Linked DNA regions of Neodiprion lecontei. The protein of the gene in region 3 binds, or shares a complex with, the protein of the main gene of each other region. Links are inferred from orthologs where the notes say so. Each region holds a gene or a part of one and is shown on either strand. Other genes may lie near its edges.

The links.
Region 1: U4/U6 small nuclear ribonucleoprotein Prp3 (region 3) and U6 snRNA-associated Sm-like protein LSm3 share a complex: the UniProt entries of both Homo sapiens proteins name them as parts of the precatalytic spliceosome. The link is inferred for Neodiprion lecontei from reciprocal best matches to the Homo sapiens genes PRPF3 and LSM3.
Region 2: U4/U6 small nuclear ribonucleoprotein Prp3 (region 3) and U6 snRNA-associated Sm-like protein LSm6 share a complex: the UniProt entries of both Homo sapiens proteins name them as parts of the precatalytic spliceosome. The link is inferred for Neodiprion lecontei from reciprocal best matches to the Homo sapiens genes PRPF3 and LSM6.
Region 4: U4/U6 small nuclear ribonucleoprotein Prp3 (region 3) and U6 snRNA-associated Sm-like protein LSm5 share a complex: the UniProt entries of both Homo sapiens proteins name them as parts of the precatalytic spliceosome. The link is inferred for Neodiprion lecontei from reciprocal best matches to the Homo sapiens genes PRPF3 and LSM5.

The regions. Positions count from the first base shown.
Region 1 is NC_060260.1:25,385,480-25,389,502, forward strand, and holds U6 snRNA-associated Sm-like protein LSm3, read right to left. Parts: upstream 2,153-4,023; 5' UTR 1,496-2,152; coding exon 1,475-1,495; intron 1,397-1,474; coding exon 1,289-1,396; intron 837-1,288; coding exon 654-836; 3' UTR 532-653; downstream 1-531. UniProt on the Homo sapiens protein: Plays a role in pre-mRNA splicing as component of the U4/U6-U5 tri-snRNP complex that is involved in spliceosome assembly, and as component of the precatalytic spliceosome (spliceosome B complex).
Region 2 is NC_060266.1:17,403,996-17,408,083, reverse strand, and holds U6 snRNA-associated Sm-like protein LSm6, read right to left. Parts: upstream 2,362-4,088; 5' UTR 2,205-2,361; intron 1,849-2,204; coding exon 1,758-1,848; intron 1,310-1,757; coding exon 1,161-1,309; 3' UTR 506-1,160; downstream 1-505. Other genes in the region: uncharacterized protein LOC124295486, read right to left, coding at 3,372-3,705, 3,801-3,965. UniProt on the Homo sapiens protein: Plays a role in pre-mRNA splicing as component of the U4/U6-U5 tri-snRNP complex that is involved in spliceosome assembly, and as component of the precatalytic spliceosome (spliceosome B complex).
Region 3 is NC_060265.1:31,665,050-31,671,756, reverse strand, and holds U4/U6 small nuclear ribonucleoprotein Prp3, read right to left. Parts: upstream 4,911-6,707; 5' UTR 4,709-4,910; coding exon 4,444-4,708; intron 4,219-4,443; coding exon 4,007-4,218; intron 2,544-4,006; coding exon 1,757-2,543; intron 1,472-1,756; coding exon 1,114-1,471; intron 1,040-1,113; coding exon 640-1,039; 3' UTR 556-639; downstream 1-555. UniProt on the Homo sapiens protein: Plays a role in pre-mRNA splicing as component of the U4/U6-U5 tri-snRNP complex that is involved in spliceosome assembly, and as component of the precatalytic spliceosome (spliceosome B complex).
Region 4 is NC_060261.1:5,613,904-5,617,136, reverse strand, and holds U6 snRNA-associated Sm-like protein LSm5, read right to left. Parts: upstream 1,402-3,233; 5' UTR 1,223-1,401; coding exon 1,177-1,222; intron 939-1,176; coding exon 742-938; intron 638-741; coding exon 605-637; 3' UTR 508-604; downstream 1-507. Other genes in the region: serine/threonine-protein kinase mos, read left to right, coding at 1-64, 131-445. UniProt on the Homo sapiens protein: Plays a role in pre-mRNA splicing as component of the U4/U6-U5 tri-snRNP complex that is involved in spliceosome assembly, and as component of the precatalytic spliceosome (spliceosome B complex).

The DNA.
Region 1 (4,023 bases), on a different chromosome or scaffold from region 3:
CTTAGGCTCTGGCTTACCAAAAAGTCGGAACAGCAAAGTGTAGGCTGATACCCTACAAGTTTGTATAGAGTCTGTTGAATCCGTGTCTACAAATCGCTGTAATATGATAATCTGCTTGTAGTTTGCGGGATTTCATTGAGAAATATACTATCGAACTTGCAAATTATGTCTTGCGGTATTAGAATCAAGTAACTGCACCAGGCAACAATGAATTCATTCAATCTGCATGTAACATTTCGAAACTAAAAGCATTTTGCCTCATGAATTATTTACTCCAATTGTGTGTAATGTGAGCTAATATATTTTGCGTTTTAAATAATCGTGAATAATTTGATGTTCGTATTGAATGAGGAGTCGACAAGTATCAAGTGAGTAATATTCCTAATTTTTTAAATCAATTTCATTGCTTCATAAAATTAGACTGAAGTAGATTGAATTTTGGCTGATAATCAGTTAAGCTTCAGCATAATACAAAAATTTTTTAATATCTATTTCGAAAGAAGGACAGCGTGCCTAAGTTTTTTTCCATTCTTCACGTTTTCATACACAAAGTTCATTTTATTTGCATCAATTATTGCCTGTAATAGTAGCATAAGCTTATCCAGTGATTATTTGTTTTTAAATTATTTTAGAGTTAATTACGTCAGTAGGGATTAGATTGGCGCCCTCATGCTTGGCGGAGATACCAGAATGACACCGTCGCCACGAACAAACAACATTGGAATATTTCTTTTAGTCGTTCTGTAAACTTCCTCGTAGGTTTCTTCGTCTATCTCAACGGTTGTTACAGTTTCCTCTGCCTCACCCAGAACCATATTTAAATGTTGATCATAGGCCTGAAATTAAAATGATTAACCACCATTTGTTCAATGAATCAATTCTCATTTAAATAGATCGTAGGTCAGGTAATTGTATCAAAATATGAGTTATTATTGTTTACTTAAAATTTCCAATATTGGGAGCAGTGCTGACATTCTATCTTATGTTGTGAAGAAATAGAATGTGGATCGCAAAATTTTATCACAATAATGCAACTTGTTTGATTTTTATTATTTGACGAGGACCGATGGTTCTTGAAAATAACGATTGTCACTAACTTTATGTTAGCAAATCGTTATAACTTAATAAGAATAATAATACTGCAAATAGCAACTATTATTCTGCTCGCCTAACTGAAGTGCCGCTGTTATCTATCAATCAGTGTTAGAGAATCGCACTCCTAATAAGCGCTTGGTATGCATCGACACAGTACTAATTTGACAAAATAAGATTCCTAAAACAGAATTACGTGTAGTCTTCCTCTGAGTTCCCTTTCGTTTCTCATTTTGACGTAAATTCGTTCGTCCAAGCTGAGTCTGATTAGATCTAACGGTTCCTTAACGTTGATGGCAGGAACCTGTATTGAAGACCGACAAAATTTTAGGTTAGTTGAGGTTAGGGATTGAATTATCTTAACAAAAATAAAATGCGTTACCTGCTCTGCATCATCGGCCATGACGTGTTGATAATCCCGTCACAAATTACAATGAAAATGTTGACTCGTCAATTATTTTCTGAAAACTAACAAACGTCACTTTACGACGCGACAGAAATTTAACCGACTTCGTTTCACTAACAATTGAATATCGATCTCGATCAAAACCTCGATTGTAGCCGACCTATGAATTCACTCGCGCTCAACACTCGAAGAACGGTAGTGTCGGTATTGACTTCACATACTTATCCAGCCCGGACATGAGGCGTTGATTTAAATCTGAATACTTTATTCTTTAACGTTGCCGCAAAGTTACAAAATAAGGCACCCAGATCTTTAGAATCCTTTTCCAAAACCATCGCATTATTTACAATTACATTGAAATGAAACAAATGCATTCTCGTCAATACTCCCAACTCAAAAATTATCAGCGTCCCCCTTTCGGCGACCTAACCTAATAGTGAAGTCATAAAAACTGCCAACGGTGCAACTTCTCTATAATTATACACACCGGACTAATTCCAAGGGCAATTTTTGCTTCCAATTGTGCGTACACCAATTGCCATCGAGTTTCTGCTGGAACGGACCAATCAGCTACTCGGTTAACCGAAACAGACGAACCTCGGAAATAAACTGCAGACGCGCATCTCCTCGATACGTAAGTACGTGTTCGAGTAGTAAGTAGTTCGCAATGTGACCACCCCTTCGAGGCGGCGAGCGGCGCTCGAGTAGCAGAATCGAGTCGGTCGTGTCACTGGCAAGTGAGTAACGCCATTTTCTGTGTTTGCGGATAGATATTACGGGCGATAAAGTGACACATTAGGTGTATCGGAGGTTAATTTGTCGGGTGTTTCGAGTGTCGGTGAAATGTTTGGATACCTGGAAAGACGCGGAGCAGATATGGTGAGTGATATAGACGTCAACCCGACAATAAATGCCTGACATCTTGCCACCGTCTGATGTTGGCCGCAGGTTCGAGCTGGGATGGGTCGTTCGGAGTATCGCACGGTATCATGTGATTGTTGTTTGACAGCACGCTCCAAGGGTCGCTCCTTGCCTTTCCGAACCTCCCATCAAAGTTACGCGCCGTTGTGATTAAACCGATCAATTTTACGCCCCGCCAATGGCCGTGGCGCTGAACCTTGTCACGGGAAAAGGTCGAGGGCGGCACATGGCAGTTGGGGCGCCGGCTATGCGGGGGGTGGTTTTCTTTTGTATCCAAAAACCGACTCCAACTCGGAACGGTGAGAATCCCGCCTCAATAAATTGCTCCCAGCAGAGTGTAGGAATGCAAACGGCGATGTATCAGGACTAATGTCCAAACGGCAATCGGCACATATTAACTGTTGGTATCTCAGTTTGTCAACCGGAACTAGCGTGAGATCTAACTTCGGATAGATAACTGAATACACGCTCGTCGAGCGTCTCTTGTTCGTTGCTGGAGAAGCGTAACTCAAAACGCTTGTGTAATCTTAATCTTCCTACTCGTTCGAATTCCTCATTAGATTCGTCGATTTTCATATGTCTTGAGGTCGGGAGAACATTCCTTCACAGAGTAGAATGCTAAGGTAAATAATGATCCGCCTTTCTTTTCCGGCTATAACTGCACCGGCATAACTCGTGACAAAACGTGTGTAACTTGTGTCGGGTGGACTCAGCTTGCGGCTCGACAAACATCAACTGCATTACATAATCCACTTTTACATCCGCGCTACGAAACGAACTTACAACCGCTGTTCTTGTTTGGCTTTGTACGATTCTCACGCCGCGTTACAAAAGCTCGGACAATCGATTCTCGGATTTCAGTTGCGCGTAACAATTAGTTTCCGAGTAAGCGATTCGAATTCCTGCATCAAGAATCTCGGAATTTACACCTGAATACACGCTACACACGTGCTGCGACAACTGGCGCAGGTATTTGATTATTCCGTATGATTATATACCGCATTCGCTTATTCACCACACGCACCGCTACTTACCTGCTATGCCTGAATGGTGAATAATAACGGAGGTGCGTAATACAGTCGGCAGAAAGCGCATCGTCACTTATCTCGGCTCGGTTCGTCAATAAAATATGCATGTGTGTACATACGGCGCGTAAAAGCGAGAACGAAACCCGAAGTATAAAGAGCGCCAACGGGACTGATAAGATAAGATACTTGCCCAGAGCGACGATGATATCTCGTATTTCACTCTGTCTCTCTTCGTTTAATTTAAATTCAGGGTTCGTACGCACAGAGAAAACTGGAAAAACTGGCAAAAGTCAGGGAATTCTGTAAATTTACAATCCTGGAATTTGTGTCTTTAAAAAATGTCCTTGGCACGTTTTTATAGGTTCGCGTAAATGGAGCTGTAAGTGTTACGTTAATTGAATAAAAAAAAGTATAATATTACTTGTTTGTAACAAATGCTTTCTTCTGATTTTCTTTTCTTTCATTCGTTTCTAAGAAAATTAGAGCCTGTAGTTAGGAAATAGATTTGAGTATAAAGTTGACAGTTTAACGATGTTAAAGGTAATGTTATTTATTGAAAAATTTGCCACTCTTAAG
Region 2 (4,088 bases), on a different chromosome or scaffold from region 3:
AAATTATACCTTTTGTGTTTTATCAAAATTTCATACCAAAACTGTAATCGCGTTAAGATTTTATCGTCGAAATTCAGCTATTTAAAATATTCTGCTACCATATATCTGCTACGCACTTGAAGAAGATTTATGATTAATTTGCCAATTTTATTGTTTTCCTAAGAGTATATCTTCTTGGCGCCATCGACAATATTTTTCTGTTCGATCGTAGGTCAATTGACTCAAAAAAGAAGGGAAGTTGCGTGCAACAATTTATTTTTTGCAAGGCCAATCGCAGAACGCTGTTGGACCAATTGATTTTCTGCCACGATCAGAAAACAAAATAACTGCGTAAACTTTGTTTATTGTAAAAGAATGTATACTTATTATAGTATTGTAAATAATAAGTGATTACAGGATTCAATGAAATCAACCTTCTTAAATGACTTTACCGAATCTTCGTCTGTGCATATAGGCTACGGTGCATAGACTGTACAAAGAGAACCAGATTTTCTAATTTTTTACATACAGCATATTGTTTTGCAAAAATTCATTTATAACGTTTTAGTGGAAATCAAATGAGGAACACACTAGTATTTTTTCAGAGATTTAGGTAATACAGACCATGGTGAAAAATCCCTTCGAATAATTGTACTGATGAAAAAACAGTTTCGTCACGAGAGAAGTGAAATTCATGTAATTCGTATACATGCACTTCAGGGTAATATTATTAGCTTTGAAATGAGCTCCATCTGGACTCTGTACGATGAATCGGTCCGGAAATACGACTGTTTGAAATTCCCCGTGCGCGACTATTTTACCGTTTTCTTGAAGTTTTGGAGTATGAGTAACTGGGAGTGATATTAAGAGGAATTACTTCGGAGCTACGCCAACATATTCACAACCTTTCGTGAAGTTTGAAATTATCAATGTTAATTGTGCCCCAAAACTGTACTGTTTGATGTGGAATGACTTCCATACAACCAAAATATACATTCGTCATGTCGGATCTGACCGAAAATGGCAGAAGTCTGTGGTTAGGTACAGAAATAGATGAACAGCATGTATTACAAATAAATATTATTTTGAGGAAATGTAATATGACAGTCCATTATTTACTTCTATATCTTTTGTTATCTTAATTATATATGATCAGTTTTAGATACTTGGAATTTCACATTTCATGTCCTTCGTTTCTGTGTGCTTATGTACAGCACATTATTTCCTCGAATGAAGGCATCGCCGTACTTATTCTTTAACTGTCCATTAACGTACTCTTCTGTTTGTTCAAGCGCGATATTCATGTACCCATCAAGACATGCCAAGACGCCTGAAAATTATTGTCATTTTTACATTTGGATAGACTTTTGCTATAAAAGTATAAAACTGTAGTGGAAATTTAGATTTGTAGAATAGAGTGCCCGTACCAGTGAATGAACATTCATCAGTAAATAAACAATCTATAGAAAAGCATTCCCGTATACAGTTATTTTATAATAGTTGTTCATTCAGTCGGGGCATTTTTTAAAACATTCATTCGTTGGTGAATTCATCTTGGTAGGAATATTAATTCTATACCTATCATCAAAAATTTGTATTTGGATAAAATCAAGTGTTTCAATCTTCCTTGGAAAACAATAAGCAAGTACAATTGTATAATCGAGTCACTGTTGTTGGCTAAGTTTTCAGATAGGTGTATAGAACAAAAATGTTAGCTTATAGAATTTCTGTCTACTCATTTTTAGGGTACGAAGTATTTAGATTACTTTTGAACAAACCTCTGTAATCAACACCACTATTTAATTTTACTACAACTGGTCGGCCATGAATTTGTTGTATAAATTGAGAAAGTGCTTCTTTACGGCTCATCTGAAAACAAACGAACGTCAAATTTCGTGTCAACTTAGGAAATTAACCTTGTAGTTTTAGAGTACGTAAGTTGAAGGGAAGTCGGATGCTCGAATAAGTATAATTAACGATTGCCAGTGCGGATAAAAACATTTCTAAGAACGCCCAAGATAAATTTAAATATGGATCAAGCAAAATTATAACATTCTGTATCCACATGCGGGCAAAATGACTGGTTAGGTTCTGTCAAACCTAGATCAGACTATACGAAACAACACTACTGTTGATGAAGTGATACATACTTTCCACGGATGAAGTTTGGGAAAGCATATCACCACCTTAACATGTCAACTATTTATACGTAAATTGATTTTTACCTTATTATTTTGTAAATAAGCGAATTTATTATTGTTTTTCTTGTTCCGATCTGGTTCGTGGTAGCTTCAAACTAGATATTCAATAATTTAAGCCACAGGCATAGAAGAATGAAGGCAAGAAGGTGATTCTGAAGGTTGACGTACCAAGGTCCCTAGATTAGGAAAGTCAAGGCACGCGTGGGCAAAAAAATTAGTGAGAATGCGCCAAAAGTTTGTTATGACAATGGATGCTTTCATACAGGCTGGGAACTCAGAGGGTGGGGGGTGACTCAAATAATATGGCAAAGCGTAGTGCTCATTTCCGCCACTTGGAGCAGCGCAGCCTTAGGGTAAGCCCAAGGTCCCTAGATTATACAGGTCAAGACACACGTGTTCCAGTTTTTCTCACTATAACGTGGGCAAAAATGTTCTATGCGCGTTCGCCCAAAAAATCCGCATTAACCAGTTTTGACCAATCTAGCTCAATTTCGTAAGGTTAAGCATTAACGAGTTGCGCCCTTAACGTCCTGACGTTCACAAAATAAATAGAAACACGTTTATATTTTAAGATTAATTATTGTGACAGATCAGGAAGAACCACACTGGGTGCTTTCCATTTAGGCCGTGTTCGAAAATTCACTGACAGTACTGTCAGCAATCCTTTATCTCTTTTGCGCTTCCAAGTTCGCGAATAGCTCTGACTCTGTCCTAGGGAATTTTCAGTAATTTTTTAATGGCAAAATCCGTAGTCATGGATGTTTTAATAAGGACAGGATATGAAAAAATCATATGCAAAATAAACTTTCAACCTACAACGGAACTAAAAGGCATAAATCTATTTAACGCCGATCATGTTCGGAGTATGCAAGAATACAGGCATAATGGAGAAAGTTTGTTTAATCAAGCTGAAGTTGGTCGACCAGCATCCGTATCTTCTGAGCCACATAAAGTACAGTTAAACGTGAGCAATCATTATTTTTGTTGATTACGATGTTACTGAATAATATGCTTCATAAAAAATTAAAGTTCTGGAAGTTCACTCCAGCAATATCTAATAAATCTTCATCGGTCTTAATAGATGGAAAACCACAGAAACTACGCTGTTTCCTATTTTGTTCAACTACAGCCTCGTTAAAACCAACCGACTTATCTATTATATCTGTTAACGATGTGCCGCATTGTACCCTTTCATCTTTCATTTTTTTTCCTATTCACAATAGTTTTGAGAGTGGCAATTTCCGGTATTTCAGTTTGAACTTCAGCATCGCAGTAAATAGTCATGTAAATATATCTGTTACAAGTGAAAGTTTTTGTTTGTTCGATACCAGCAGAATTTACAAAATCTACTTGACACTCTTGATCAGTTTTTAAAATTACTTCTGCACTGCTTACATCCATAGGATCACGTCCATTATTATTGACAACATTGTTAGAGTCGTCATTAACTGGATTTCCAGTATCACAATTCACTTCGATGTTATGCTTGTGAAGAGTCTTTCTTCGGTTAATGAGTCGATTGTACCTATAATTAATAGATACCTACATATGTTATTATATAAATATAAATGTATATATTATTTGATTTTATAATTATTTTTTTACTTTTCATATATTTACCTGCTTAAAACAGCTCTTTCATTTAATTGCTTTGCATGATAAACAGGAGGGAATAGAGTTGGCGCGTAGCTTGGACTCGCAGGATCATCTGATTTTTTCTTGCCAATGAAATGACTATTACATATTACGTGATGAGGTTTTGGAGTCCACTTTGAGCCATCAGGACTGAAAAAAACAATAATACTTATGTATTTATATAGTGTTTCATGCAGATAGCATAACAGTTCACCTATTGATATAGTTGGCTTTATTTTAAAAACATAGAAAACTAAGGCATCGAAAATAAGG
Region 3 (6,707 bases):
CGTTGACTCATCACTCCCTGGAGGCACATCAATTAAAGGGACTCTAAGGAACCGATAACTTCTGACTACGTCTCTCATTTCAGGACTATTTTTCCATGTCATGACTACTGAGATACTTACAGGGGCATCAAGACTATAGATATACTGACCAGCCCCCTGGCACTCAAGCCACATTCCTGTCCCCCGAATATCACCAGCCGCTCCGTGGCGCTGGCAGTATTCTGCGGCGTCTCGCTGCCATCAGCTGCTACCAGCTGCCACTACGGCTAGCTTGCGCCGGCAAGGAGTGTTAGGGCGCAAGAGGGGGGAACACCGAAATATGCCAGCGCCATGCAGTACGAACTATATGTATATGGTGATCATAAGCGCAGACAGTTCCCTATATGAAATGAATAAGAGCGCCAGGGACCTGGTACTGACAGTCAATCCAAGCGACGAAAGCAGATGTTTAACAAGTGATCCTTAGGTACATAATTATGAACAGAAGCACATCTCCTTTCAGTAATTGAATTAGTTTAACAAACTCCAACTTTACACGAAATATGTAAAAATATCTGAAATTGATTATTTATCATTTATTTCTCACCAAGAATTCTACGATTCATTGTTTGTAATATTGTTTCATTACCACACTAGGTTTTAGGTACGTGCATCATCTGTATTGTCTAATACCGCACCACTATATGCTAGATCCCAATAGTGCTCAACTTGATGTTTTTTGAAGTGTTCCCTTGCCATTTTTTCGATTGGGCACACCTTGAATTTTACCTCGCCAAAGTGTCGCTGTTTGCTTGTACCCTCCCAAACCAAAACACATCTATTAGGCACCTCGTTTCCATCATTATCCTTGACGATATCCTCTTCCCATTTTATTCGCCGTACCATCAAACGTTTATACTTGCTCAGTTGTTTAGCTCCACCCTCAACTACGACTACATTGCAGTCGCGAAACAACATCACACACCCGGTCAAGTATAATTGTTTGGCATTTGTTTCCACTTTGAACTTTTTCGATGCATTATTAACTAGATCTCGTATCCTGAAATAATTCATTTGAATATAGTTCTATGAACGTGGCCATCCCCATGTGCAGGGTATATATCAATGGATTACCTGTAAACTGCTACGTGTACTCCAAGGGTGGTATCCTCTTTCAGCTTACGAGCTTTTTTCTCGCGTCGTTGTTCCGCAGTAAGTCGACGCGCCGCGTTTGCATCCTCATGAGCCTTTAATCTCTTTGCCATCTGTTGGCGTACGTGAGCCTCAATTTTTGTGGGATCCTGTACAGCTTCTGTACCCAAGACACGCATTAAATTAGAGATCCTCAGCTTTGGCTCAGGCGGTGGTTCCAAACCCAGGCGGATCTTCTCTTGTTCCTCTTTCCATGCTTCTCGTCGGTTCTGCCGACGTAATTTTTTACGCTCCTTCTTTGTCAGAAATACTGGCATGTAGATTGGCTTGAGAGGATCAGCTGTAAGCAAACGAAAAATAGATCGAAGACAATGAAAGTTGGGGTCATATTATTATACAAGCAGGTAATTCTTGAGCAAATGAAAACTCTGCAGTTACACACATATGTAATAAATATGGTTATTGATAAATAGGGCAAGGATTTGAATTTCTCTGAAGATATTTATTCAAGGTACTGTGAGCTATAACACTCTTCCTTTGAGGATTTCAATTTTCATAATGCAACCGGAAAGCAGCTAAAAGTACTATTACAAACAATCTGATCGTCCAGAGTTTCATAACTTACTTGGAGGCCGCATTTGCGTAGGATGTTCAACCAAGTTTGTAATGGCAGAAAACTTGATTGGCATTTGTTCTTCGTCATCTGTGTAACATCCAGTAATAATAACCGAATCCCACCATTCAACATTGGGCACATCTTCGTTCATGGCCTCGGTCTTGGGGGCAATCAGTGCCAATTTTGTTGCCGAACTGATACCGGTTTTTCTGGCAATTTGTGATATTTCGTTTTGTAATTTTTCCAATTGGGCTTTCATACGTATTCTATCTGCCAACTGTTGAAACTTCCCAGGCTCGTGAAATTTTAAGGCTCTCTTGTTTCTTTGGGCTGGCTTTGCACCGATCCGACTATCAAAAAAATGCGTATCCTGCATCTCCTCTGGCCCCTTAGAATCCTGCAGCTGGGCTTTGAATTCTTCCCGTTTCTTTGCTCGAATATTGGCTTTCAGCGTAGGAACTACCTGGGTGAGTTGAACTTCTTTTCCTGTAATATCGACTGTTCTTCCAGATTCATCCAATATCAAGGGTGTTGGCTTATCAGGGACTGGCAGGCTTCCCAATAATCCCGAACTGAGTTTATTCCTAATTTGAGCCTGAAGTGCAGCAATCTTCCGAGCTTTGTCAGAATCATTTTTACTCAACAGTCCCTGATTGTACATACTCCCTACGGACGGCATGGATTCGCGAGCTCGGAACAAGGGTCTGACTGGCGGCATATCATCTTGCCGTATCGCCTTTAACGCCCGTTTGCGCTCCTCGATCTCTCTTTGAGCATTCATCATCATTTGTTTTATCTATAAAAAAAAATGTAGCAGAGGAGGAAAATGAGGAGATGAAATTCTTAACCAAGCATTGATGAATGTTAATCGAATGGTGATAAGAAAAGTCAGTAAATCAACTGAATCGATTTAATTGGATGAAAAAAAATTAAATTCCTTAGCGTAAGCGAATCTACATTTCGTGGGTACCATTTTTTTCGTTGATCCAAGTCAGCGATAATGCGACTAACTGCAAATACTTTTGCTGATTTAAACGAATGTATCAGTCGAAACAATAAGAAAATGGTTTCCATACATATGGTAAAATAAATTTATCTACAAACACAAATAGGCTAATAAATTTACCTACTTTCAAATATTTTGTTGGTTGAAAAAAAAACCACGAAACTCTAACGTTCGTGGCAGCTGGGAAAACATAAAGGTAATGAAATCGATGTTTTCTGTGTGTTGAATTAATGACATGAATAAAATATTCATGTCGAGCATTTCATTATTCAACTGTACTATGTCGTCGGCTTTTTCAGTGCAGTTAAATTGTTGAAATATTGATGAAATCCTTGCATTTTGTACATAATCTTTTCATGTCTGCTGGCAATAGCTTCATATCACTGAGATAAGTGTATTTCGTCATTTAAGTGAGCCAAAGTTAACCCGAAATCTATGCGATAGTTTGGCATAGTGGCAACAGATGTACGATTAGGTGGTATGATAAGTATTAGTGAGCAATCCCCGATTCGAATCCTGATCAAAATCATGCAGCCTTTAATCAGAAACTAAAAATGTGATTTATCCAACTTGCAATCAATTATAAGTTATTTGCAATACTGAAAAATCCACCAACTGTCGTAATTAGGCTAAAAATTTTATTTTCATTTTTGATCAGAACCTTTTCAAATGACTGCAGGACATCCTTTCATTCCATGATTCAGTCTCGTCAAACGAAATATACAGTAATTCTAATAAAACATAACCTTACTTTATAACCTGAGCATTTTTTTATCTGAATGATATGAGACTCAAGTTAACAAGTAAGTTGTTTCAATAGATGATTGAAACACTATACTGAACTGAATGTTCAGTTGCTTGTACCTAGCTGTGATTTTTCCAACCGAATATTCAGTTCCGACGACTACAATTTTTTGAAACAAACAGAACATGATCTTGCATTCATCAAACATTTGTTGGATCAAGAAGTAGGATATTCAGATTAACAAAATGATTTTTATATCAACTATAGAATAGAGATCGTTCAACTTAATATTCCGTTGACTGTACATCCTCTTACTTGTGTTAAGTAATAATAAAGTCAACAGAAGTAATTTTTATTTAGTTTGAGCAGCTTATAAATTGTTGTAACCAAATATTCGTATCGCCGTCCGTGAATGCCGCATTTAGTTGATCGAAACAATTTTTGTGATACAAAGCATTTTTGCCCTCAGTTCGGGTACTAGACAGTGGATTTATAAACTTAAATGTACCTTGTCAGCAGACAATTGTGCTTCTGTAGGTTTTTCGTTCATGAAATCGTCTTCTTTTGTTTTCGGTTTCTTTGCATCTCTGTCCTTATCCTTGTCATCGGTATGAGGACGTTTCTTACTCTTTTGGTTAGCTTTGGTGTCATCGTATATTGAAAATATTTTTTCCATCAACTTGGTAGCCTTCTTTTCTTCCAAGAGTGCCGAAAGTTTGTCTAAAACATAAATTGTCACATACCACATATACAAGTTGTAAAAAAATGTTTTGACATGCCATCAGAAGATGAATACTTATCTCTAGTAAATTGACTAAACGCTAGGTAGTAGCGTTTCATTGAAAACTTGAAATCACTGAGTGAAAAGGATAAATGAATGAGCGACACAGTTCAATGGTTATAGTTGTAGATCAGTTCGAATGTCGGTGATATAGAGAAACTTACCAGCAGTTTTACGCTTGTCGTAGCCCGAAGTGATGCAGTTTATAGCGGTAGTAACAATTGACGGCTCTCCAAAACCCAGAAACTTATGTACTGCCTTCTCTATTTGAGGCTTCATATCATCTATCTCTTTGCGGGTTAGATAAGCCATTGTAATAAGTTGTGCAACTGGAATGTCAAGAAGTAGCAAAAAGTCAATTTGAAAACTGCAAAGAATTACTCGTTGAACCCCAAAGAGAACAAGATACGGACGACGTTGTTGTATCATTCAGCCCGCACGTGAGTAACCGAAAAGTAAGGCAGGGTAAAATGAAAAATACATTCCACACAGAAAACACTTGATAAGAGTCTTGACCGTGACAAAAACTGCTTAGACCGCAGAGGTTAGATTTGTACTAAAACCAGCCATGTTTATACTATGGGTGTATTCCGAAATATACTCGCAGTACTGCAAGTACTAGCAACCGCGTTCCGAAACCGCGCGACAGCTTCCTGCCGCCAGTCTGTGACGTCTGAAATTTGTGACGTATTGACTGTGACTACTACGGTCTGGGACGTGAGGCAGTTGCAGTACTTGAGAGATGGCCGCGTCCTCGGTGTAGCGTTCCGCTTTTTCTGCAACTGGCAACTCGAAGTAAAAACGGAACGCAGTTCGCAGTTGACTGCGTGACGTCACGGTCGGCAGTACTGGAAGTACATTTTGGAATACACCCAAATCCCGAGATCGCTAGAAAGAGATGGCAGTATATCAACTGCGGGTGTGAGACTAAGATAGCACCAAAAACGGTGGAATCGAAGTTCTGGGGGCTTATTACGGTTTTTGGATTGGGTGAAAATGACGAATGTGAGCGGCTCACCCTATTTCGGTCAATCTCACCTCCTGAAAGTGCGAGTTTCCTCGCGCGAGCTGACTTGACACAAAATTTGATGTGAGAAGGTGAAATTGAAGTGAGTTACACCCGTATTCATAGTCCTTCCTTGACAGCACAAGGAGCCTTATTGGCCTCCTTCTTTCAAAGCAGATCTCGAGCTTCCTTGAGGAAAGCTTCGGCACTGCGATTGGCAGTTTCGTTTTATGTAGCCAACGCTTGCGCTTGCGCTTGGCGACTATGCACTTATGACCCGTATGACGCAGAGATCACAGCTAGTCTACAAGTTAACCTCTTTGAAGTTATACACTCTCATCAACCGACGCAAGTTGACAATGAGAGCCAAGCGGTTTAAGTTAGATTTAAATATAACCGAGTGACGCTTCGATCAGCAGTTTTACCACCATAAGCAATCACATATCCCTAAATATGTCTTCCCTCCTGGAAGGGAGAGCCAAGTTGTGACTATGAAACGAGGATGCCTCTGAGATTCAAGGAAGCCTTCATCAAGGCGTCCTTTACCCTTGAGATAAGGAGCGACTATGAATACGGGTATAAGGCTGCCGTCCCATGGTCCGGAATTTGTTCCGTCTCCACGAACCCTGAACCCAGTGACTTTTCAAGCCCCAATCGGAGGCGTTCCGGCTCCACTGATTTACGGGATGCATTTTTCCTACTGTCCCATGATACGGAAATGACACACACGGAACGATCGCCGGCAAATTGCGATTGTTCCTTTTAGCGCTGAATTTGAAATGCACTACTGTGATTGGGTGTCGGCACTTCCGGGCCTGTGCATTCCGTGTCATGGGACACCCGATGCTGACAGAGACGGAATCGTATTACTCACACAAGCATATGTATTGTTTACATGCTTACGTTACATGCTTACGTTAGGCTGCAAATAAGAGGTTATGATATGAATATTCTCGAATTATAGGTTAGAAATTGGGTGATATTAGGTCAAACGTGACGCAAGTTTTAATTATTTCCACTTCAACAACTACAACGAACAATTAAATAAATGAATTTCGTATTCTGAAGAATTTTATACTTACAGGACCTGACGAATTCAGTTTTTTCTTATGTTACGCACCCACACACACACAGATACAGAGATTTGTTTGACAGTTCGCAAATACTGGTAATGCACACGGAACGGAATGTCCGGAACACTTCTGATTGGGGCTTGAAAAGTCACTGGATTCCGAGTTCGTGAGACGGAACAAATTCTGGACCATGGGACGGCTGACGCACACTTGTGACGTCGGAACGGTACCTAGTGGAAATCTCCAGATGTTAGACACCGGAAACATTCACACGCAGCTACAGCCAGACTCACATCAGTAGTTTGGGTCACCAATTACCGATTAAGTATTGAAATACACCGGACAACGG
Region 4 (3,233 bases), on a different chromosome or scaffold from region 3:
AAAATTAGCAGATTTTGGTAGCTCCGTTCTTTTGGGGGAAGAAGACACATATACAGGAATTCGAGTAGGTTTTTTAGTTTTGCATCACGATTTCATTCCCTAAATCACCAGGTTTATGCCATATTTTCAGGGTACACCTGGTTATGTAGCCCCAGAAGTAATCAGAGGGGAATTACCCTCTCCACCTTCAGACATATATTCCCTGGGAATTTTGGCCTGGCAAATGCTAAGCAGGACTTTGCCATTCGCTGACCTCCATCCTCACGCTATTTTGTATCTCACTGGGAAAGGTATAAAACCGGAGGATTCAATGCTGGATGATAATTTAGGTGGCAAGTATAAAGCGTTGTATTCAAAGATGTGGTCATTTGAAAAAACAGATAGACCCAGTATAGATGGAGTTGCAACGGAGCTTCAAGATTTAGAGGTCGAAGCAAAGTGTTGAAGTTAATTAGAAATGGCAAAGGCTCAATGATGATACGGGATAAAAGGAAGACAATGCAGAAATGTTTACAAAAGAAAATCATTGTTATTTGAATAAATTTTTACAATCACATAGCAGTAAATGTCAAAAGTATTATACATGAAATCACAGGGGATGAGATTATGTTTCTGGCATATCACCTCCAGGTACTAACTGAAACAGGAAAGAAAAAATGATAGTCAAACTGTTGCAATAAACCTTGTTGTGCATTTTAAACACATCATGCTATCGAAATGTATTTGTATTTCCATATTAACCATCGTAATGTTATTTCCATTGAGGAGGATCTGATCCAATTTTGTAACTCTGCGTCCCTCGGGTGTTGCTTCGCTTTCAGTCACATCATCCAATAACATATTCACAAAGTCATCAAATCCTTGTAATGTACCCACAATTTCTTTATCATTTTTCATGATAATGTGAATGCGGGAGCCGATGCACTTGTCCACCAATTCTGTAAAGTAAAATTCAATGAAATAAAACATCAGTTAATAGAGAAAATTAAGATGATCGATAATGAGCAAGGTTGCAGAAAATACGAGAATGTAAAAGACACGTGGACTACCCCGAACTAATGGCATATATTTTAAAACGTATTTTAAAAATACACAAAAAATAAATAATAAACAACGTCGTTCTGTCGTTAGATCATAGAGGTTAGGAAAAATTTCGTTATTATTTTATTTATTTACCTAGCGGCAAAAGCGTGGATGGATTCGTAGTCACAGAGCTAGTCATTTTGGGAACAGAATAGTCTCGTCAATCGGTATTAATATACCCTCACTTTTTAACCAACTAACAATCAACTAATTAAGCGGGACGGCAATCCGGACGTCCTGTAAAATGACTACGCGTCGTTGGATTCGAAACACCGGTAGTTGCGCGCACATTGCCGTTGCCGTCGTGCTTATATCGCATGGAGGTGGCTTCCCAGTAAAAGGCAATTGCCGTACACTCTGTCTCTCTCGCTCTGCGCTGCGATTGGCCGAACGCGCATATCTCGTAATGCTCAGCCAATCAGAGTGTAGAGAAAGAGAGACAGAGTATACTGGCATTGCCCTTTGGCCGTTGCCCATTTGGCGCATATTATTCAGTGATGATTCGATGTCGACAGCAGCGCCGCCGCGACGGTCGACGGGAGAAGCAGAAGGTATCAGCGGCGAGGTTCAGCAGCAATGTAGAATTTGTAGCCGAACATGGCAGAAGTATAACTCTTTCGTTATTTGTGTGATTTTGTAAATGTGCCAATGTGCGAGCAATATGAGTTACGTTAAAAGTTATTTTCCAATTAGACATGACAATTGTATTAAGTTAGTGATTCAAAGTGATTTCCCGGAGTTAACTGTACCGAGGTAAGAGATATCACAATATTCATTTTAATTGTTGTGTCCGATGGGGTGGATTTGACAAGCTCTCTACTATCCGTAGATACATAGCTATTAATACATATATATCTACATGCAACTTCTAGTATCTAATTATAATATCGTTGTAATGAAACAACAACGGTTATGTATAATACGCACGTCGCTTTGTTAGATGTATCATCAAACAATGTCAAAGGGGACGTTTTGTTCACGCTGTATATACCTACTTCAGAGGCTGTCTACCCAGCTCCCTGACCACGCGATTTTTTTTTTCTTTTTCTCTCTTTCTCGCTAACGTACAGACTTCCCGATTGATTTGCCCCGTGAACACTCACCGAATGGACTTGGTATCTGGATACCTAGTCACTCTTCCATCCTAATTTACACATGGTATATTATCCGTTGAAAATGATGAAAAAATGATAACAAAAACACCCCGTCTTCTGTTATGATACCATCGAAATGTTCTATTCTATCACCTCATATTCCGGTTGCCGCACAATTTTCGCCTCTACAAATTTATTACGCACATATATACGTGCGTGTATGCATGCGTACGAACACGCCAAATACATATTCCATTTTGCATTCAACGTTCGTATTATTATTCTTATTCTATCTTCGGACCAAATTTGACTACTTGTCCTCGCAATTCGTCGCACGCTGCTCGCGAATTGCTAATTTAAATAATTCCATTCAACAGGTGTAAATTTCACGATTTATTTAATCGAATTTCAATCAATACTAATATTATTTATCTATCACACACCGCTCAACTACCCCAGCTCTTACCTCATAATCTCATTTAAACCATGAAAACTATTTTCCCAAATATTTCGCCAGTTACAAATTTTATTAATTTTCACCCATCTGGAAACGATTATTATTCTCATCTCGTTGTTCTTTGTGCCTCGTTTCCCTGTATGAGAATTACCTCTTGACTCGTGAAGAATGAAAAATTTCCTAGAATCTTTGTCCTGCTCAGAATAATCATAATAATAACAATAACAATCTTTTACCAGGGAACACGTTTCTCGTAGATATTAATTTTCAGAAATGATGTTGCCTCTTGCTGCATACTATATTTAACATATCAAGGCCATCTCAGGCATTTTTGACAAATGTTAAAGTACTTTCATTGTTGAATTCATTATTTGCTAGAATTGTTTGAACGTGGAAAATACAATCTGTATGTTCTTAAATATATATAAATAAAGTTAATGATTGTACCATAATTTTTCATTCAGTCTTATGTGAGTGAGTTACATTTAAAGGAAAAAATTTTCTGCATTAATCTTTATTCACTAGATGTTATTTCATTGTTATATTGTATATTGTACGTGTAACATTTCCGTACTTCTTTGTGTGAAACCATTGACTTA